Nothobranchius furzeri: one gene and its partners. The protein of the gene in region 3 interacts with the protein of the main gene of each other region in a pairwise test. Links are inferred from orthologs where the notes say so. Each region holds a gene or a part of one and is shown on either strand. Other genes may lie near its edges. The genes, in order: retreg3, dtx2 and abhd16a.

Evidence for each region.
Region 1: the proteins of abhd16a (region 3) and retreg3 interact in binary tests that used the Homo sapiens proteins (3 or more experiments, as listed by UniProt). The link is inferred for Nothobranchius furzeri from reciprocal best matches to the Homo sapiens genes ABHD16A and RETREG3.
Region 2: the proteins of abhd16a (region 3) and dtx2 interact in binary tests that used the Homo sapiens proteins (3 or more experiments, as listed by UniProt). The two-hybrid records come from large-scale screens. The link is inferred for Nothobranchius furzeri from reciprocal best matches to the Homo sapiens genes ABHD16A and DTX2.

What each region holds. Positions count from the first base shown.
Region 1 is NC_091745.1:7,574,978-7,582,659, forward strand, and holds retreg3 (reticulophagy regulator 3), read left to right. Parts: upstream 1-2,543; 5' UTR 2,544-2,658; intron 2,659-2,873; 5' UTR 2,874-2,901; coding exon 2,902-3,149; intron 3,150-3,987; coding exon 3,988-4,094; intron 4,095-4,321; coding exon 4,322-4,352; intron 4,353-4,442; coding exon 4,443-4,569; intron 4,570-4,756; coding exon 4,757-4,841; intron 4,842-5,433; coding exon 5,434-5,571; intron 5,572-6,134; coding exon 6,135-6,214; intron 6,215-6,621; coding exon 6,622-6,754; intron 6,755-6,831; coding exon 6,832-7,376; 3' UTR 7,377-7,607; downstream 7,608-7,682. Other genes in the region: tubg1 (tubulin gamma-1 chain), read right to left, coding at 1,634-1,746, 1,981-2,029. UniProt on the Homo sapiens protein: Endoplasmic reticulum (ER)-anchored autophagy regulator which exists in an inactive state under basal conditions but is activated following cellular stress.
Region 2 is NC_091750.1:69,047,318-69,055,118, forward strand, and holds the start of dtx2 (probable E3 ubiquitin-protein ligase DTX2), read left to right. Parts: upstream 1-2,672; 5' UTR 2,673-2,895; coding exon 2,896-3,208; intron 3,209-3,754; coding exon 3,755-4,343; intron 4,344-7,152; coding exon 7,153-7,211; intron 7,212-7,801. UniProt on the Homo sapiens protein: Regulator of Notch signaling, a signaling pathway involved in cell-cell communications that regulates a broad spectrum of cell-fate determinations.
Region 3 is NC_091745.1:74,540,898-74,547,975, reverse strand, and holds part of abhd16a (phosphatidylserine lipase ABHD16A), read left to right. Parts: intron 1-2,222; coding exon 2,223-2,330; intron 2,331-2,420; coding exon 2,421-2,535; intron 2,536-2,599; coding exon 2,600-2,701; intron 2,702-2,802; coding exon 2,803-2,866; intron 2,867-2,952; coding exon 2,953-3,002; intron 3,003-3,217; coding exon 3,218-3,341; intron 3,342-3,859; coding exon 3,860-3,964; intron 3,965-4,036; coding exon 4,037-4,100; intron 4,101-4,197; coding exon 4,198-4,254; intron 4,255-6,768; coding exon 6,769-6,831; intron 6,832-7,012; coding exon 7,013-7,078. UniProt on the Homo sapiens protein: Phosphatidylserine (PS) lipase that mediates the hydrolysis of phosphatidylserine to generate lysophosphatidylserine (LPS). LPS constitutes a class of signaling lipids that regulates immunological and neurological processes.

The DNA of each region.
Region 1 (7,682 bases), about 67 Mb from region 3:
ACTGAATCCAGTGGGCAGCTCAGAACTGAGCTAGCTTTGTAAACTAGCTTGCTCAGTCTCTTCCTGTCTCGGTCAGAGCTGCCTGCACCCCAACAGACCACAGCAGAGTGTTTAACAGATCCAACCACAGAGTGATAGAAGGATTTTAGCAGCTGGGGATTAATTCTGAAGGACCTCAGCCTCCTCAGGAGGCGGAGGCAGCTTTGGCCATTCTTATAAGGAGCATCTGTGTTGTTGGACCAGTTCAGTTTGCTGTTGAGGTGAATGTCTGCTGCCTGGAACTTTACTGGTGAGCGAGGAGGAGTGTTTCTCTGGAAGTCAACCACCATTTCCTTTGTCTTACTGGTGTTCAAGCAAAGGTGATTATGTTCACATCGGTCAACAAAGTCCATGATGACTGACCTGTACTCCTGATTCCCCTCAGACACACAGCTGACAATGGCCGAGTCATCAGAGAACCTCTGGAGGTGACAGCTGCTGGGGTTGTAGGTGAAGTCCGAGGTGTAGTAGGTGAATAGAAAGGGAGAGAGCACTGTACCCTGTGGAGCTCCAGTACTGCACACAACCACCTCAGATGTACAGTTGTGCAGCCTCACGTACTGTGGTCTGTTGGTGACGTAGTTGATGTCCATACAATCAGATGTTCGTCCACTCCTGTACCCCTCATCTTCTGCTGCAGTAGACGTGGTTGGATGGTTTTGAAGGCAATTAAGTAGTCAAAGAACATGATTCTCTCAGTGCATTTTTGCATCTCAAGGTGAGTCAAAGCCTGATGCTGCAGGTAGATGAGTGCGTCCTCCACCTCAATGTTTGGTTTATATGCTAAATGCAGTGGCTCTATTTCCAGGCTCTCCACTGAACGTAGATGGGTGAGGATGAGTCTCTCTAGTCTTCATAAATGGGAGGTCAAGGAGACTGGTCTGTAATAGTCTAGTTCGAGGATGTGATGTTTTGGGAACTGGAACCACACAGGAATTCTTCCACAGGATGGAGACCTGCTCCAACTGAAGGCTCAGGTTGAGCATGTGTGTGACCACTTCACAAAGCTGGTCAGCACAGTCTTTGAGCAGGCTGATCCCGTCAGGATCTGCTGCTTTTCTGTTCTTAAGTTGCCTCAGTTCTCTCCTCACCTGGTCAGATGCAAAAGAGGGGGGGAGTGTGGTGCTGAGGGGAGTTGGTGGTGGGGGAGAAGCAGTTGAATGGTGAATAACCTGAATTAGCTTCCTTCTACTCTTTCTGCCAATTCTGCTTTTCCCATGATTGCCTTTTCTTGTTCACTCTTTTCCCTTTCCTCACATCTTTTGATCACAATTTTTGCTTTTCCCAATTTTATGATATCTATCTAGTCATTTTTAATTTTTTTTGTTCTTGAGTTAAGTAGATATTTATTACAAGTCATGTTGCAATTGCAATATTAATCAGCATTATCGCTGGTTTTCCAAACATCTTGCAGCCCTATTAGAAACCACCATGTACAATGTGTCTTCTTGGCTGAGAGGACTTTGTAAGAAGTTGTCTTGGTTTAAACGTTTTAAGGAAGCGTATCCTCGTGTTGACATTCGTCAGGGGGTTAACTAATTCTATAATTTCACATCAACAGATGATAAAATATAAAAATGTATGCTCCAACTACCTGATAAAAAAACACGTCTTTTCTATCAGTCCCTTCAGTGGCGAACTCCTCCACAATGCCCTCCGGGCTGATGCCATGTTCTGCACACAGCTGCTTCCAAAACTCGAATCCAACTGCAAAACAGAGGTGGAAACGTGAACATGCTGAGTTAAAAGACAACGGGAAACACACAAACACAGAGACATTTGCTGACTGACTGACACTGCTAGCTAACGTTAACTCGTTACCATCAATAAGAATTCGCCATTATTATGCTAGGTTACAATAACACTGGATGTTTGCTAGCCTGTTTTAACAGAATCGCTTCCGTTTGAGTAGAAGGTTGGAAACATTTAACCGTAACTTACTTTGATTTCCACATTGTCCCAGCTGAAGAGTTATAATTTCCCGCGGCATGATCGCTCTTTATTTGCTCCCTATTTAGCTAGCCTGTTTACTAGCTAAATACACGGCTAAATGTATAGTTCCCACCGCTAAACCACTCCTAGCCCGCTCCTTCCCGCTTGTTACTATGTCCACTCCTTTACGTATTACCGAAGCATGAGCCGTATAAACAACCACGAATACTCATCGAAGGAGTGTCGCTGTGAAGTCTGCCAATATAAATGGAGCAGACCCACTGAACTGACGCTTCTAATTTGCCTCTGCAAGTTAATTTGGTTGCTGCCATCTGTTGTGCTGGAAGAAGATAGTGGGCCACAGTGTTTTCAAACTAAACAACTTTGCCAATCCAAAACGCAGAACATTATATATTTCAGAAACAGATTTCGCTTTTATTTGAATAAAGTGTTGAAATGGAATGAGTTTACATATGTAGTTTAATTGAAAAATCATTTTCTGGAATAACAACTGCTGTTTTTATGAAAGGCACAAAAACAAGCCGTGGTGTCCTTAAACGCACCATGACGCAGCAGGTTAGGCCAATTCCGATTGGACCGTTCAGCAGTCGGAAAAACAGGATACGCCATATTTACAGGTTTTGAAGAGTACGGAGCGCTACATTTCTGGTTAAAAATGACAGTATAGTAAGTGTCAGCTTGTTCTTAAATGTTCTAACTATAGCTTTAGTTAACATGCTTATTTTTAATGTATCAAGACGTATAGTTGTGGACAGTGAGACAGTATTTCAGCTGGCGTGTCTCGCTGTTAGTCCATCCGTTAGCAAAGGTGTTGTGACCGCTGTGGTAACCCTCTTAATCTGTTTACCTGTTTCCTCTTCGCTTTTATCGTTACTTTACAGGTTGATTCCATGAACAGTTGACGCTAAGATGGCGCACACTGGAGCAACAGAAGCGGGATCCATGGAGGATGGATCTGCCAAGCAGGGGTCCGGGGTCTGTCTGCGAACTCGGTCAAGCTCCAGTGAGAGAGATGGTCGGGTTCGGGCTGTCAGAGCCATTCTTCTTTCCAAGCTGGGCCCAAACGAGCCCCATCTCACCTATCTACAGTCCGTCCTGGTGTGGGAAAGACCTCTTCATAGCATTCTGCTCTACATTGTTATCAACGTAGTGTTCTGGTGGGTTTTCTTGTTTTCTTGCAAATCTGTCAGTACTGAGTTTGACTGGAGATCATGCCAGCAATCAGCTGGTGCTTTTACACGATCCAAGAGCTTCACCTGTCGAGTTAATTCTGCACTGGTGGTAGATAACGTGGTGGTCCTAATTATCGAATCATCGAATTTAACTGTTCCTGCAGAAACATAATGTTGGGTCATGGTTTATCCACAATAACCCTAATAGCCTAACTCTAACCAATTAGTCACCACAGATAATCTTGTTTTCCCATTTTTGCTGTGGGATTGTTTTTTTTTAGTAGATTAAGAGTTGCGTTGCTTCAGATCTTAAGCTAGGGCTCAACAAGAGAATTTGCACATTTTGTTTACATTTGTTACTGTTACCACCACTAACCTAAATGCTAATACCTTGTGACCTGCTGATGTCCTCTTGGTGAGGATAATCTCCCAAGATTGGCAGAATTCTGCAGCGTTATTGTGGTCCAGACATTTCTAAAGTCTTGTGATCTCAAACAGGAGCAGTGGCAAAATAATGGGACTTCTGACAGCGCTTCTTAATACAGATTACACGTATCAACTGTAGCATTTTCATCAGATTAGAAAAGATCCTTATCGATCAAAGCTGATCTGAACTGTCACCTTTCCCGTCAGGAGAAGATGTAAAATATCTGACTGGGTGAAAACCTCTTTCTTTATTCTAGAACAGAAGGTTTTTTTTTTTTTTTTTTTTTTTTTTTGCTGTTTGGTGTATTCTGTAGAGTTGTGTCCATAATTCTTTGTTGAATCCAAAGGGAACAGTCCAGAGATGAAATATCTGTTTGTATGTTTTATTTCCCTCTAGGTTTTTTGCCCTAACGTCACTGCGCCTGCTGTTCCTGCTGGCGTCTGGCCTCGCTGTGCTTGTAGTTGTTGATACCTGGAGGAATAGGATCTGGCCAGAGATCAGAGGTGCTGCACTTTATTTCAATAGGGGCTCTTCCTTTTTAAGATTATATATTTCCTCCCACAACTTTGAGAAACACTATTTCACGAATAGATTTGATAAAACTCAGACTTTCTACATTAACAATAATCAAACTAACACGTGCTATTGGTTACTTTCTGCACTCTTGTTGGTTTATATTAAGTCCTAATGCTTGAGGCAGGTTTTGAAAGCGGTTGTCCTCTCTCCACAGTCAGAAAGCTGGATGAATCAGAAAATGAGAGGTCAGTGAACGTCGTCTAAAATCAGCCGTTACTCTGACATCACCGTATAACACAACAGGCAATCTGAAGGAATCGTATCTGTTTGTGCAGCTGGGGTCTGGTACAGCCCGGTGTCCTCAGCGTGCCTGAGCTGTGCCACCACCTTGCAGAGGCCTGGGTCAGTGCATCGGTTTTCAGATCCGATATGATGGAATACAAACGTCAAAACCCTGGCAATGTGAGCACTGCATACTATAAACCATTTTACCTACAGATTACTCACACCCTTATTTGGATTAACCCGTTCATCATGACTCTACAAATTATTAATCCATCAAGATTCCCTAAGCTCTGAACAAACACTCTACTGTTGGCACTCTTGGTTTGTTCTGACCTTTGCCCACACGTGTCTTGTTCTGTGACAGTTCTGCATCATGACCTGTGGCGTGTTCTCCTGCTTGGCTCTGATTGGAAACTACGTCCCTGGATTGGTGCTCTCCTACTCTGCCTGTGAGTCCCAGCAGTTTAGCTGGTCCTAACTACAGAAGGCTGTGTTGGCAGGGAAACTCAGCCCGACTAGTGTGTTTAAAAATGCATGGGTGTTGAAACCAGATCTGCTGGGCCTTGGTACCGGGCTCTGCTCCATGTGGTGATTAAAGCCGGGATGAGACACACAAGAAGGGAGAGAAGGAGAGCAGGGAGTCGGGCTTAAAGCTAAGGAGGTCAGGCGTAGAGTGGACTAATCTCCTAACCTTCAGCCAGTGTAGACCTCCGAGCTCAGCATGGGGCACCAATCCAAGCCTAATAGTCCTGTGTCCATGCTTACATTAGATTAGATTTAGCTTTAAACAAGGAGACAAATACAGTCTAGCATCTAGTGCAATACCAGAAAATGTGGTGTGTCGAGTGTGCGTTTAGGAGGGGTTATGTTCATATAGGTTTTGTTCAAGGAGAGCAGAATGAAAACGTGAGGCTAGATAGACAATATACAGGTGTAATATGAACAAGTACGCACATACACCGTATAAAACACATATTTGGTTTGCTAAACATAATTTTCTCTTTTTTTGCATCATTTGTGCTCTTTTCCTTTTGACTCCAGTGCTAGCCACCCTCCTGGCCCCTCTGGGTGCCTATCACAGGGTTTTCCAGGGTGTGTGTGCGAAGCTGGAGCCAGCCCTGCAGAGGCTGGACTTCAGCGTTCGTGGATACATGATGTCAAAGCCCATCGACAACCAATGTAAGTCACAGAAACATGTTTAGCCCTGTTATTCATTTTATAATACCAATCAGATCCGTTAGATTTTAGCAGAAACTCGTCGTTTCTCACTTTTAACATTTCAGCAAGAAGTTTTTTTTTCATTTACTGATAGTTGGCAGGCTGTTCTGTTGTAATGGCTGGTTCTTTAGCGCCCTCCGGTGGCCGTAAAAAGATGTTCAGTTTTATTAAACAGATATGTTGTTTTGCTAGAAGAACTTTCCTGTTGCCATTTTGTCTGAGGCACTTTGTTGTTTAATTGCTAGAGTCACATTAGTTTTACTTCTGTTTTTTTTCTGGGTTTATTTCATATAGAAACTGAATGCAACAGCAGTCCAGAGTCTTAAAAGGATGATTTAGTTGTTCATAATTCAAAATCTGATAGGATGTGATGAGAAAAGCTGCTTTTTATTATTGTTTGTTGTTCTATAAATTCAGTGCAACTCCGCAGAGCTTTGTGTGTATTGTTAGTTTGGTTTTGGAACATGTTATAAGGGCCTAAGGGCAATAATGAGTTATTTATCTGCTTCATCTAAACTTTCCAGTCCTGCGAATGCCGATCCGCAGTGCAGCCTCGGGTGAAGCCAGCGACAGTGAGGAGGAGTTGGCTGCTTTCTGCCCAACTGTAAGTTCCTTAAACCTTTATATTCAAGTTGAGTTTTTCTGATTTGTGAACAGAAGCATCTCAACTACAATAGAAACAGCAATAATACGTCTGTTACCCTTTCAGTTTATTCAGTATTTAGCACAACCTAAAGCGCAGCATTGATCTAATACCAAGCGTTTCCTCTACATCTCTTGGTTTGTCCTTTAGCACACCTCTGGTTACAGTAGCACATCAAGCACTTTTCCTGTTGTGGTTGGCTTGCCACTGCTTTTTTGTTTATGCTGAAGTCTGTGAGAGCAAACAGGGAGGACATAAAACCGAAAGCATTTCTTATGGTAGAGGGAAATAGAAAAGAAGCGTAAAGATTTTTTACTTTTGTCTAACACAGGAAATTAAAAATATGTTACTCTTTTTTTGTCTTCCAGTTTGATGATGCTGTTGTTGCAAAAGAACTTGCCTTGACCGACTCTGAACACTCCGATGCCGAGGTGTCCTACACTGATAACGGGACATTCAACCTGTCGCGAGGTCAGACCCCGCTCACAGAGGGCTCTGAAGGTGAGGCTCCTGCTTTTTGTTGCTTGATCTTCTTTTTTGATCTCTCCTCTGACGTCTTTCTGTCTGCATTTGATCAGATCTCGACAGACACAGTGACGCAGAAGAATCTTTTGCCCAAGACCTCCCAGACTTCCCATCCATTAACCCCGATGCCACCCTGATGGATGATGAAGACGACACAAGCATCGGACTGCCCAGTCTGGGTCTGTCTGGACCTGCTAGTCACCGGGCCTCAGTGCTGGATGTTGATGCTCATCTGGACTCGGATCAGGAGGATCTGGACTCAGAACTTTCTCTCGGCGGTCTTCCACCTGTCTCAGATATCAGTGGAGACTTGGCTGGAGTCATTGCCAGCAACATGATTCAGGCAGCGCTGGCGGGCGCAATGCAACCTCGGCCTCCCACCACTCAACGCAGGCAAGGTCACCCTCAGGTCGGGGGCCACCGGAGCTACCGCAAACAGTCCAGCTCTGAGTTTGACACGGACTTGGATGCAGAAGACTTTGAAATGCTGGATCAGTCTGAACTGAACCAGATGGATCCCTTCGGAGGGGGGGGTTCTAGACGGGGTGACAGCCAGGGGTCTAACTTCTTCTCCAGCCTGCTTGGTAAACCACAGTGAAGTGTGTGTGTGTGTTTTGCTGAGGGTGTGCAGTTATGTGGGTAGAGTGTAAAATGATGATTGTGTGTGTGTGTGCGTGCGCGCACGCGCGTGTGTGTGCGTGTGAGGTGATTTTAGGTTCCAGCAGCCCTGCTTCTGGTAGGCATCAGTAAGTCACTGTGAAGTATTTCATTCTCCTCTTTTTAAATCCTTGTTTTATACGTTTGAATTCTTGATGATGGAGTTTTTAGGTTGTAGGCTGAGCAATAGGAAACACAAAAACAAAGTAAACTACATCACACATTTGGGTACACGGCATTGTTCGTA
Region 2 (7,801 bases), on a different chromosome or scaffold from region 3:
TGCTCATTTTATGTCTCATGTGTTTGTTTTCCTGAGTTGAGGTTTGGGACGTAGTGTCCCACTTTGATATTTTTCTCCAAGACGGATTTTAAATTCAGGTTTTTGTTCATTTGTCTCTTGCTGGGTTGGATCTAAAGTTACTAATGTATGGACTTAAATAAATTAATTATTTATGAGAAATGTATATCTGCGATGGACTGGCTCTCTGTCCAGGGTGTACCCCGCCTGATTGCCCATTGACCGCTGGAGATAGGCACAAAGCGGGTTCAGACAATGGATGGATAGATGGATGGATGGAGAATTGTATATTTAAAAACGGAATAATTGATTGCATCATGTCATTACAACATAATTTCACATTTATTTATGCGATTATGTCATAAAAACAAATAAAAATACAACCTGCAGTATCGAGATCCTCCACCAGAGAGCACAATACATCTCTAGATTTAATTGCAGCTTGTTTTTAAGGAAAGAACTAATCCTTTTAAAGAGATAAAACTATTAGAAACAGATAAAAGTATATTGGTATATTATATACCGTATACATACATATACATACATACATACATACATATACATATATATATATATATATATATATATATATATATATATATATACACATACATATATATACATACATACATACATATATATATATATATATATATATATATATATATATATATATATGAATATTTAGGGTTATTATTTTGTTTTTACTAAATCATGTTTCTTCCTCCATTAGCTTGCAGATGTTGAAGGTTTTATTTAATCTGATTCAACTTTATTTAATCCGACATGTTAGTATTATTATGAATATCATTATTTTTATTATGATTTTAGGATCCTTCTGTACGTTTTTCATCGTATACATCTCTTACAGTTTTTCAGCAATTAACGCAAATGGGGTCACACGGTGTTTAGCTCGTTTAGGGAAAGCAGGCTAGGATTTTTGTTGGACATTTTAAAATGTTTTTAAAGATATTCAACGTTAAATTCTTAATTGGATGAGACCAACGTCATAGGTATGGTAGCCATAGCAACCAAGTGGGCGGAGCCTAACTTCAAAGGCACCTTGGTAACTAAGGAAACAGCATTCAAACAGCAACAACTCTGAGGTTTTTTTCTTTTTATGGAGACACTTTGCAACTTTTCATATTTTTAAATCATTTTCTTGAGCCAGTGTGTGCTAGAAAAACCATTTACAGGGTTAATGAAATGCCACCCAGCCCTTTTCACACTCTGGAGACAGAATATTCCACTTGCAGCTTCGCAGTTGCTGATCAGGTCTGCTTATATGGTGCTGCAGTCTGGCTCCAGCACGTTTCCTGCATGTTTTAGATCATGAACACAGCTGATTTGTTTAATTTAATTTAGTGATTAATAAGCCATGTAGACAGTAATGAAGGGGATACGTTTCAGCTGTTAGATTTAAGCAATTCATACTTTTTTGTCTGTGTCAGCCAGGATAGACACGCCACTATGAGTCGATGCAGGAGCGCTTTGACAGGCTTGCAGAGGCTGATGGAGACACGCCCCAAATTTTAACTGTCCATTGAAAGAGACGGAGAGCGCAAGCTTGTGATTGGTCAGGAGGCTGCTTCTTGTTTTTATTGGTCAACAGCACCGTCTTTGCCTCTTCAAAAGGTCAAAAGATAGCGGCAAAAACAGAACAGGTTGAAAAACGCATCGAAGAAAGTCTGAAAATATGAACTTTTATTCACCTGTGACTGAAGGAGAGCAAAGATATGCAGCAAGCGTTTTATTCGTGGACAGAAAAGATGATAAACGTGGGTTTAGAGGTACTGATCGCATAAAGAGGTGAAGATCAATGAGGGACAAATCTGTCCGTGTCAAAAAGTCTCTGGAATACATTAAAACAATGTAAACACAATACCATCGTGGACCGGCTACGTGACTGTAATGGTAGCAGGATCCCTCAGAATAGCACTACGCTCTCGGTTATCTTGGCGGGAAATTGTTTTGCAACACTCCCTAGCTGATGGAGAAATTTGAAAGCAAAATGTCTCTGTCAATGCGAGTATGTCTCTCCATCGCAGAGCTGAAGTATAAATTAGGCTTGAGGTGTTGAAAAGACAAACGCACAGATTGGTTTTGCTTTCTTTCTACAAACGGACACTAGGGGGTGCTAAAAGCAAGCCTAAACTGCCCAATCTCCCTTTAAAAACGTATTGGATCCAGTCACTAGGGGGCGCTTGTTTTGCTTTTGTTTCAACTTCTGTGTTGCATTCAAATGCCTCTGTTTTTACAAATCATTCAAAGTTTACTAGTATGAATAAAGCGTCAATTAATTAAATAGTAAAGCAAAAATGCTAACATTAAAATATATATTTGATCTAACTTGGGCTGGATTTTCAAAGATGCACAAGTTTACTAGTTTGCTTTAAATGTTTTGCTTGAGTTTGCTTTAAAGGTTAAAATAAAGTTATTAATCTTTAACGAAATTAATTTTCACGAAATTTTCATCCAGCTGGTGCAGAAAAATCACAATCTGCTGGAATAAATGAATTAATGTGTAAAAGGAGATCGGGTGAATGAGGAAGCTGTTTCCCATAGACCAGCGTTTCCGAGGCACGTCTGCTGAGTACTGCTATTCCCGACGGGCCTTGAAGGCAGCGGTCCAGACTGGAAGGCTCCATGGTGATGTTGTCACCACTCGGCCGCCTTTGGTCTTTCTGAACGCAACAGCTTTGTCAACATGAACCCGAATGTTTGTCTCGGTCGTGTTGGGTTCGAGCCTCGCCTCGGAACTTCCTTGTAGGCGCGTGCACACTTTCGGAATGGAGTTTTTAACGAGCCTAGCTAGCTAGTCGCTGCGTCTTCGTCGTAGCCACAATCAGCTAACCAGTTGTGTTGTTAGCGAATAACATGGCGATTGTGTCTGGTTCCTGCGCCCGGGTGAACGGCTCCAGAAACGGGCCCTCGCTGCCGGTTTTGCCGTCCGGTTCCGTTGGACCATCCCAGCCCATGATAGCGGTGTGGGAATGGCAGGACGACCAGGGCTATTGGCGGCCTTACAGCGGCCAAGTCAGCGCCTACATCGAGCGTTGTGTGTCCCGGCGCGGGCCCAGAGGAGGCGGAGGAGCCGGCTCGACGAGCATCTGCCTCGGACAGTCAGACCCCAGTCTGTCGCCCTACCTCATTGACATACCGAGCCTGAAGCAGTTCCGGCAGGACACAGGTGAGCACGACCTCTTCCTTTAATAACCGCAATAATAAACGCGTTTCCTCGTATCGTCACAGTGACCGGCCTAGCTGGTTTCGCTTTACATCAGCTGGAGGAAATACGAGTCATGTTTCTGGGCTTCATTCTCAGTGAAAACATCAGGATCGTTCTCATTACTCGTCCTAGAGCTGGACAGCTTAATCATGTTGGTTTGAATGATTAAACCGTGCAAATACTTAGTTAAATGACTGAGCTGTTAGAGCGTCATGTGGGAGGATGTTGAATAACTCAGGACTTTTACCTGACATGGCTTTGAAACGTGTGTTTTATACAAAAACCACACAAGAAAGGGGCTTAAAAACATTAAAAATATGAAAATAGATGTAAAGTCATCTTCGAGTACAAACGTTGAAGTATAAAATGGGTGAATAATGTGGGAAATACATGAAAAGAACAGTTACTGTTGATGAAGGTGCCAGTCTTGGGTCTTGACCAGGTAATGTTGGTTTAAGATGCTTTACTCACAAATACACACTAAAGGGTTTGTTGTTTACTTTCCAGGGACGACCCGGTCAGTGCGGCGCTCCCTGTTCGCCCAGTCTTCAGGCCTCGGCAGCGGTGTCTACTGGGAATGGGTCAACGATGAAGGAGGTTGGACTCCGTACGAGACCCGGACCTCCATCCTTCTAGAGCACAGCTACCAGGCCCGCCAGGGCACGGCCGACCTGGGCCCGCATGGGTACAATTACATAGTGGATCTCACCTCTCTGGCCCAGGTGAACAAATCCACAGGCTTCAGGCGCCAGGTGCGGCGACAGTGCAACCTCCCCTACCCGTTGGCCTCCTCCGGCCCCCCTGCCATCCCCTCAGCCCCTGCCTGCTCCTGCCAGCAGTGTTTGAGCCACAGCAGCACCGGACCCATTCCCAGCCGCTCACGCCATTCCTTTTCCTCGGGGAGTCTGAACCGACCCAGCCTCCAGGGGATGGGGTGGGTCGCTGCCGCTCACCCGACTTCTGTTTACTCGCCGTATCCCAGGAGACCCCTCTCTGTGGGGGGGATGTCCTGGGGCAGCCCCTGGCCCCCACTTGCCTCTGCTAGTCACATACCTGCGCCACACCTGGGCAGCTCCACCAGCGTTAATGGTTTAAGGTGAGTGTGACACATTAAACCACAGCGGGGGACTGAAGGATGTCCTCCAGCCCCCCCGCCCTCTCTGTCCTTCCTGTCTGTCTCCTCACTGACCCATCCTGTCAAACAGGAGGTCCGGAGCTCTAACACATCAGTGGTGTGTTTGTTTTGGCTCACTTCCCCTCATTTCCATCTTTGTCATCTGATCTTCCTTCTTCTCATTCCTAATGGCACAGAGAGCAGCTCCCAAAGTCAAACGACTAGCTTAAGCGGTGCAATGGATATGTAGCTCACTCTCAGTCCTGGGGTCTCAGTTTCCTCCACACTGCATATTAATCAGGGATGTGTATTTTTGAAATTCTGGCGATACGATACGATCACCATACAGGGGAGACGATACGATATATCACGATATATTGCGATACATTCAGTCAGACGTTACAAGCAATTTTTTTTTTTACAGAATTTATTGTAAGAATGTTCAATAAACAGTCCAAACTGATATATAACATGTTTAACATGAGGTATCTGAACCATGATGGAGGGATTTACATTTCAATGGTGGAAACAAAACCCGTTGCACACTGCTGCCAACTAGCGGGTGGCGATTGAATTGCACAAAACGAAAAGAAAATACACAAATGTTTGCATGTAAATTCTTTCAAGAATTAGATACACGGCTTTTGAATTTCAATGTAATATTTACAGGGGAAAAAATCACGATATATTGTCATATCGATATTTCCGATACACGGCTTTTGAATATCGATATAATATTGCTGGAAAAAAATATCACGATATATTGCCATATCGATATTTTCTTGCATCCCTAATGTTAATAATCCTGAGTTAATTCTAATTTTCTACATTTTTGAATGTTATTCATGTTTAATGTTCCACCCTTGCACGACGCGTTTTTGTACTAATTATAGTAGATGTCTGCTTATTCTTGCATTAACTTTTTGATGATCTGTGAAGTAATAGTTTTGTAAAACCCAAAAAGCTTCGTCACGCCGGATTTGCCGACTTTCTGTTTTTAAAATATTTCTGATCAGTAAACAAATCAGCATAACACCAACATAACCAGAGTAGATAAAAAAAATGCTGTTTTTAAATAATTATTTCATTTATGAAGGAGAAAAATTGTCAAATCTTGCAAAAAATGTGAGAAAGTAGTTGCTTTTGGACCCATCTGAGTCCTGATCCCACCAGGTCTGCTGGATGAAAAAATTCACTTCAACATTTGAGTTCCCTAACCTTAGTTGAAACAGATTAAAATTATGCTGCACAGAGTAATTTCATAAATAAAAATTATGCTAAATATAAATTTTTGGGTAACTGGGTGGTGAAGGTGAGGGTCAGGGTTGTTTTTTCTGAACAATCTGGACGTTTTCCACCTTATTTTCATGCTAAAATGTCAATAACATCAGCTGATGCTCAAAATGTCTGAACTCTGCAGCAGCAGCACGGCGCTGCCCGGGAATGCGCCTGGCTTTAAATCTGCCGATGCGTCTAGCGTAGATGAAAGCTGTGCCAATCATCATCTCAGGTTTTCTTTGTCCAGTACTGAATCTGAAGTAGAGCGGGGGCGATGCGGCCTAAAAGCAATATCACCATATATTGAGGATTTCACCTCGATAACGATGAATGGATAATAACTACGGGTATGTGCAGAAACAAAAGTTGTCCACTAGGCGGGGCTGTCACGTGTATTAGGTTGAGCCACATTTTTATGAGACTCGAGCTGGTGCAGCGTCTTAAAGGGACATGAACGTTGCCAACGTCCACACGTCTTTAAAAAATGTTTTTCATCACATTTATTGACATGGGAAAAATGATCGATCAGTCAGACATTTTGATAACAACAAATGTTTTATTTATTGCCCAGCTTTAATCTGAAACATGTAAGTGTGGCAAATAAAAAATAATCTAGAAGGGTGTGTATGCTTTATACAGCATCTTAAAGAGCAAGTCACCCCCTACCAGAGAATTACTCAACTCCCACTTCCTGTTTGAAAAATGCAACAAATGCTGTTGCCTAGCAGACCCAAGAGCTGCTAACAAACACACACATACACAGGCTCACAACAACATTGTGACATCATAATGTACCAGCTAATGTCATAGGGTACCTCTTAGCCAATAGCGAAGGCAGATTTAAATTCAAATGCAGTGCAGAGTTTTTACCTGACAACGGCACGACGCTGACAGTTTTAGGCAGAATATTCAAATTTTAACTAAAATGCACTAAAGTGCTAAACTGTTAACCACACGTGTCTGCAGCACGATTAGACACACATTTATATAGTTTATCAGAAAAAACAGTTGATTTGGGGGTGACTTGCTCTCTAAATAGGTGACTTTCTCACCGGTCAGAGTGGGTAGAACAGCCACACAGTGAGTTTTTTTTCCTATAACTCCTAATTTCGTGGTTTCATTAGTTAACGGCTCTGGGAGTCGATCCTCACGCTCATTTAGGAAGAAAATAGCAGCGATAGATTTGTTATTCTGAGTTTGACGGGTTTCGATCACCGACAGCAACTGCTTGCTTTTCCCCTAAAACTCGTTTTTCTCCATCAGCTGATCGGCCGCTGCACATCCGGTTGAAGCCGGGGTGCAGTTGATCCCCCAGACATGAATAACTAGTCTTAGAACCGGTCTGAAGACACCTTCTCCATCCTCCCATCAAACCAGACGAGCCGTGTTTCTGTCCGCGTGACGCGAGCAGAAGTCCGAGCCAGTTTCCAGCCTTTGTTCTTTGCTTCCTGCCTGTTTGATTGTTGCTGTTTTCACTGACTGAATGTCACCATCTGTGTTTCCTGACCTGCAGCGTTCCTTCCATCTCCGTGCAGTTGAATGGGTCGACCAGCGTGAGTTCTGCCCTGGCAGGTAAACGGGTCACTGTGTTTCCTCCCTGGTAGTTGGTGTTCTTCATCCGTGTGTTTAGGAGCAGGCATGGGTCAGAACGGGTCAACCCCACTCAGACGTGTTCTTATTTAAGACTCTTTATGCACAACAAATACTTAGCTTCTGATTTTCATCATTTCTATAGTTTTATTCTCATTTGATAAACATTTAGTCTCAAATATCCATGAAATTTGTTTTGAAGATCATAATATGTGTGGGAAAATAACTTAAAGAGCAAGTCACCCCCCACCCCTACCAGAGTTTTACTCCACTCCCACTTCCTGTTTAAATAATGCAACAAATGCTGTTGTCTAGCAGACCGAGAGGGCGGAGCCGCTAACAAATACACACACACAGGCTCACAACGACATTGTGACATCATAATGTACCAGCTAATGTCATAGTGTACCTCTTAGCCAATAGCGATGGCAGATTTAAATTTAAATGCAGTGCAGAGTTTTTACCTGACAACGGCACAACGCTGACAGTTTTAGGCAGAAAATTTTAATTTTAACTAAGAGGCACTGAAGTGCCTAATTGTTGACCACACGTGTCTGCAGCACGATTAGACA
Region 3 (7,078 bases):
TCGTCTCTACCACAGATGTAGAAAATCACCGGGAGCGCTTCTCCCTTCATTAAGGAGCTTCTTTCAGACATTAGGAGAGCGGTCTTGGTGGTAGCAGTCTCTCCTCTGTGCTGGTCTGTTTGCTGCTGGGTGTTTTTGGTTTATTTAAACTTGGTAACTTGAACTTAACGTTGGTACAGCTACTGTTAGCATCTTCGCTAACAGCTTCTTGCGTTTGGATAAGCTGTTACGTTTTGGTTTAGAGTTCATCGTTTTTGTGGTGCAGATCTCCCTTTTATTCCATTTAGAGTGTTGTGGGTTTTCGGTTTAGTTTAAAATATCACCTTGAGTTTGGTTTAACCACCCAGTTTAGAGTTTGGACCTTTGGATATTCTTATTTTGGTCCAGAACCCTGTAATATTTGCCCAGTGGGACATCCCTACTTATTTGTACTTTTGTTTTAATCCCCCACAGGCAGAATTTGTTTCATTATTCCCAACCTGTGGATGGAAAGATTTGTTTTGTTGTTGTAAATAAACCTGATCATCATTTTAACTTTTAAATCCCGTTATTGTCCCTTCCTTTTTGCACACGAGCCAAACTCCCCAGGAAGGGTCGTAACACCACTCGCCTCACGCAAACAAAGCAGCATGGAGACAGTCCGTCTCCAACCACCTCTCAGGCAGCAGCCTGCTCTCCCACATTCTACACGTCACCAGAACATCTTCGTCTTCGTCTTCGTCTTCCTCCGCTTATCCGGGTCCGGGTCGCGTGGGCAGCATCCCAATTAGGGAGCTCCAGGCCGTCCTCTCCCCGGCCTTGTCCACCAGCTCCTCCGGCAGGACCCCAAGGCGTTCCCGGACCAGATTGGAGATGTAACCTCTCCAACGTGTCCTGGGTCGACCCGGGGGCCTTCTGCCGGCAGGACATGCCCGAAACACCTCCCCGGGGAGGCGTCCAGGAGGCATCCTGACCAGATGCCCAAACCACCTCAACTGGCTCCTTTCGATCCGGAGGAGCAGCGGTTCTACTCCGAGTCCCTCCCGAATGTCCGAGCTCCTCACCCTATCTCTAAGGCTGAGCCCGGCCACCCTACGGAGGAAACTCATTTCGGCCGCTTGTATCCGCGATCTCGTTCTTTCGGTCATTACCCAAAGCTCATGACCATAGGTGAGGATTGGGACGTAGATCGACCGGTAAATCGAGAGCCTGGCTTTCTGGCTCAGCTCCCTCTTCCCCACGACAGATCGGCTCAGCGTCCGCATCACTGCAGACGCCGAACCAATCCGCCTGTCGATCTCCCGATCCCTCCTACCCTCACTCGTGAACAAGACCCCGAGATACTTAAACTCCTCCACTTGAGGTAGGACCTCACCAGAACATAACCAATAAAAGCAGTGTTATACAAAATGGAAGGCTGTAGTGTTTATTCTCTTACAGTAACAATTTATCAATTTTTTGGAGGAATTTATTTGAGATTTTTTGGTTTTTATTAACTGTGCAATAGAAATTTAATCATTAGATTAATTGTCTAAATAGTCATTAGAATAATCGACTATTCGATAAAATAATCATCAGAATAATCGTTTTAAGAATAAGCGTTTACCCCCAGCCCTACTGCGTAATCTACGTCTTCTCCACCCATTTCTGCTGACACACCTGGTCACGCCTCACATTAACTATTGGAAATCTCCTTTTGGTTTCCCTCTCAAGTCATTACATAGACTTCACCTGATTCAGATCTCTGCCACCAGTTTCACAACAGAACACCTTCGGCTCACTATTTTACTCCCGTCTTTCACAAACTTCATTGGCTTCCCTTTATTTACTGCTCCTCAGCTTTAAGGCCATCCATAACCCGGCTCCTTCCTCCCCGTCTGACCTTATCCACACCGATATAACTTCCCACACACTCTCAGGTCATCCTCATTCATCCACATCACTGTTCCTTATCCCCACCCCTACTTCCACTGGAGGTAGAGCATTCAGTCCCGTTTCACCTTACCTCCTGAACTCCAGACATAATGAACTCTTTATGCTTTTTAAATTACACTTGAAAGCTTGTCTGACTTTAATTATTCACACTTGATGTTATTGTTTAAAATGGCCTCTTATTCAATGCAGCTATACTAAATTGTAGTCATGTCATTTAGCTTGCATTACTTCAGTTGTTGTAGAAGTGTAGTGAATAGGTTTGGGTGTATTTAGTGTGTGTATAATGGGTCCGTCGTTCACCTCTGAAGGAAAATGTCCAAAGGTGGCGTTTCTCTGCTGAAGCCCGAGCCCAAACTGAGAGGAACAGCAGACAACGTTCTTTACTCTGTTCGCACTTTACCGTGCCACATCGTTGGGTAAGTGCACGGTTATACTAGCATGTATGTTTCTTATTTCATTTCTCCCAGCGGTTCTACCACAGCATCATTAACAGTTTTCCTCTGCAGCTACCTCATTGCTCACTCTTTTGGGAGGAGGATGTTGTATCCTGGTTCTGTGGGGTTGCTACAGAAAGCCATGAGACCGATGCTGCAGCAAGGCCAGGCTAAGTTGATAGAGGAGGTAAGAGAAGAAATAATCTTCCTCAGAGATGCTGCGTGTCGTATTTGATCATTTTCTGTCACAGTTTGACGGTCAAAGGAACAAGCTGGTGGCCTGCGACGGGAACGAGATCGACACAATGTTTGTGGATCGAAGGAGAGACGGGGGCCCGAACGGCCAGACTCTGGTAAATGTCAGCAGTGATTTGTTGCCTTTGCGCTCAGGGCTGGTTCCAGGGTCCAACAAAACTCCCGTCACCTTACAGATGGTTCTTGAATTCTTCCACAGGTCATCTGCTGTGAGGGCAACGCCGGATTTTATGAGGTGGGCTGCATGAACACGCCTCTGGAGGGTGAGAAATACTGACATTTAAAAGTGCAGAATAATGTTTTAGTCTAAAATGTTGCTAAACAAGTTAACGCTGATCGTTTACTTTAGGTGGGTACTCCGTTCTGGGCTGGAACCACCCTGGCTTTGGAGGCAGCACGGTAAGCAACAGCAGGCTCCATTGTATGTAGGCTGTGCATCATTTAGCTCAAACAAGCGGAGGAGTGGAGAAACTGGTTTGAGTATCACACTAGAACCAGATGCACTCCCGTAGCTGGTTAGTATCAGCAGGAAGGCTGTTTATGTTTTAATGGCTTCAAAGTTCAACGTGTTTCAGTTCTGGGATTTATTTCTGTTCGCTGTACGTTTCCACCAGGGAGTGCCGTTTCCCCAGAACGAGGCGAACGCCATGGATGTGGTCGTCCAGTTCGCCATTCACAAACTTGGTTTCCAGCTGAGCGACATTGTGATCTATGCCTGGTCCATAGGAGGATTCACAGGTGCAGACAGAGCAAACGTTAACGTTCAAACATATGAACTAGCTTGAAAACATTCTAGATGGTTTTAGAAAGTTTTTAAAAAGTATCATTTTTAGACATTTTATCTTTTTTTTTATCTAAAAAGAAAATAAATTATTCTCTAGAAAAACAGTAAGGTAAATATTCTGAAGTATGATCCAGATTTCCTTGTTTTGAGTAAAAAAAAAAATCCGCCAGTGGGGTAAGCAAAAGCTGCTTGGCTAGAAATCCTGAAACAAACCTAGAATTAGATTATTTTGCTATTTGTGAGGTTTCTAGCCGAGCTGCTTACCTCGTTGGCAGATTTTTAACTTAAAACAAGAAAATGTGGATCATATTCAAGAATATTAACCTTATTTTAGGTTATGCTATTTTCTGGAGAAAACACCACAAAATATCTAAAAATGAAGATTTTTTAACTTTCTTAGAAAAACTATTTTTTTGCAGTTTATCTCAAAATGTCCCGGTAACTAATCTCCTTTTTTTTTGTTGTTTCTTAGCCAGTTGGGCGGTGATGTCATACCCAGAGATCCAAGCTATAGTATTGGACGCCTCCTTTGATGACCTCCTCCCTCTGGCTCTCAAAGTTATGCCTGAAAGTTGGAGTGAGTGCCACGAGCTACCGGTTTCAGACTCCTTCAGCAGAAAATATTGTTTCAGTGTTTATTTTTTCTCAGAACCGCTGGTTCAACACACGGTGAGGCAGTACATGAACCTTAACAACGCCGAGCAGCTCATCAAGTGAGTGTAGGGTGGAGCTTGATAAGTTATTGGTAAACAAAAGTGAAACTGTTTCTTGCTCATGTTGACTGATGACTAATAAAGCTACATGTTTCAGATACCAGGGACCAGTCCTGTTGATCAGAAGGACCAAAGATGAGATCATCACCACAACGTAGGTCCCCACCACACAACATGAAACGCTCGGCAGCGCCCTAGCTTACTTTGTTTGGGTTAATTAGATAAAAGAACAAATTTTAGCTTCTGAAATCTTGTGAAATTTCCACACTAATTATGACTTTTCAGATCTGAGTTGTTGCATTTTTTTAATAAAAGTCCTTTGGAAGTTTTCAAGGACCATCCACCTCCACCCTTCTGTCCAGTCGTGGTTACTTCTAGCTGCAGAAAGGAAAATGGGGTTTTTGAAATAACTGAAAATGCTTACTTGTTGTACTTTATAGTTCTGATAGTGCTTGAGTATTATTTCTTTAATGTAGTTTAAAACACCAACATTTAGGGATGCACTTGTATGGAAATATGGGCCGATATCGATATCCAATATTAATATTGTTGTGGCTGATAACTAATATTTACCAATATTCTAAATATATAATAATATTTTATTTAAAATATGAGTGTGTATTGGCAAGATTTTGGTGATCGGATGTATATCGCGATACTAAAAGTCGATATTTGTCGTTTTTAACTCATTCGCTGCCAGCGTTTCTCACCGTTTTTACAGTTTTTTTAAGAGTCACAGAACGCTGCGCGCTAGGATGATGTTGACGCCAAAATGACCAAAACAAAGCGGAGACTCACCTCTTACATCAGGAAGAATCCGCGCGTTTCGAGCCTTATCCCTTCTTTCATAATCCGTTGTTGAATTGTGATCGGCAGAAGCTTTTCCGGTTCGCGCTTCACTTTTTTTTACAGCAGCGGCCCAAAACGATCTCCTAACACATGGATGTTCTGCTTCCTGATCACGTGACGTGTGACGTACGCGGATGAAGATCGGCTTTAAAGCTGAGATGTTTGTTCTCACGGACGGCGTGGGGGCTTGTCCGACGCTCACACAGTAAAAAAAATGCAAAAAAGTGAATGAGTTAAGACTGAATTAATTGGAAAACTCAGGCCAGACGCTTTCAAGACACATCCAGTGTTATCGCAAGATCTTGTTTTTCCGTCACAATGAAGGCGGTAAAAACTGCTGCCACCTAGCAGTCGGAGTTTGAATTGCACCACGCAACAGGAATACTGTAAAAACTGATAAACCACTTTTAAACGTTGATTCAACATCATGACACATAGCATTGCAGTATTTAACGGTGAAAGTCAAAAAATTTAAATACGGTGAAAAAGTCCATTATGTCAGTAATTCAACTGAGAGACCATCTAAAGGCCCAGGAGCCCTTGTGAGACTTTCATCAGCAGTAAGTCATAATGGGGCGACGGTGGCACAGAAGTTAGGTGCTCGCCCTGTAATTGGGAGGTTGCAGGTTTGAGCTCCGCTCAGTCTGTCGCTATGTCCTTGGGCAAGACACTTACCCACCGTGCCTGCTGGTGGTGGTCGGAGGGAGCGGTGGTGCCTGTGTACAGCAGACTCGCCTCTGCTGCCGTACACAGGGCAGCTGTGAATGACTGTTGTAAAGTGCCTTGGGGGGGGGAGGGGGGTCCAATCCAATTTTATTTATAAAGCGCATTCACAAGGCATTACAACCAAACAAGGCGCTGTACACTAAAAATGTAAGTTAATTAAACCGGCGTTATACAATCATGTCGAACACGGATAAAAGATAAAAAGGAAATACAACAAAATTCCCAAAACTAACAGCTAAAAATCAATAAAACACAGGGAGAATGAAAAATTAGAAGAACATTTTAAAAAACCTTAATAATACGGAAGTTGATATTGTGAATTCCATTTTTAAACAGTGCAGATGTAAGTGAGGTTCATAATTATGTTGTATAAGCTAGGTTGAAGTAGTGAGTTTTCAGGCGTGATTTAAACATGCTAGCTGTTGGTGCTAGCCTCACTAGCAGTGGTAACGCGTTCCACAGCTTCGGTGCACAGACAGAGAAAGCCCTTTCTCCACGGCTTTTTAAACGTGCATTCGGAACAGCTAGGAGGAGCTTATCTTCCAGGACTCTAGAAGACACTATATCAAATACAGGCTTGAAATATGTGGCTTTGCATGTAACGAGTCTCTCATATATCAGTTTCACCTTTGAAGTTGAATGACTGACATGAATGATGTTTTGCACCATATTCTCCTTTTTGAGTTTCATCTGTCATCTATTAGACCAGTCAGATTATTAATGGTATTTCTGAAACATTATTTTGGCGTCTGCTTTTGCTAAACCGTTTCAGTTTCCGTCTCTTTCAGCTGATCGGCCACATTGAGTGATGTTTCTGGTTAATGTAAACATGTTGTCTGTATTTTTAAACATGCAGCACTGATCATAACCATAAAAGTTGATAAATTATGCAAATAATCACTTTAAAGGGGGCAGTTAAGTAAAGTTTGAAGCAGGGTGGTGTTTGGATATCATTCATTCATTTTAATAGTACAGGAACAAATGTCCTGTAGTTTGTGGTCGTGAGCCTTTCTGATTAGTGTACAACATTCCTGCTGAGCTGCTCGGATTAAACAGGAGGATGTCTCAAATGCTAACTTCAGATGTGTTACAGCGGTCCAGAGGACATCATGTCCAACAGAGGAAACGATCTTTTGCTCAGACTGCTTCAGTTCAGGTCAGTTTGTTCCCTCTCTCTCACACACACACACACACACACACACACACACACACACACACACACACACACACACACACACACACACCTTGTGTCAGGTTTCTCCCTCCCGGAGGCACTTGGTGTATTCGGGCTCATTAAGTGGCTCATACTTAAGTGGAAGTCTAATTCTCCTTGTCAGGTATCCCAAAATAATGACAGATGAAGGGATCCGAGCTGTCAGGCAGTGGCTCGGAGCATCCAGCCC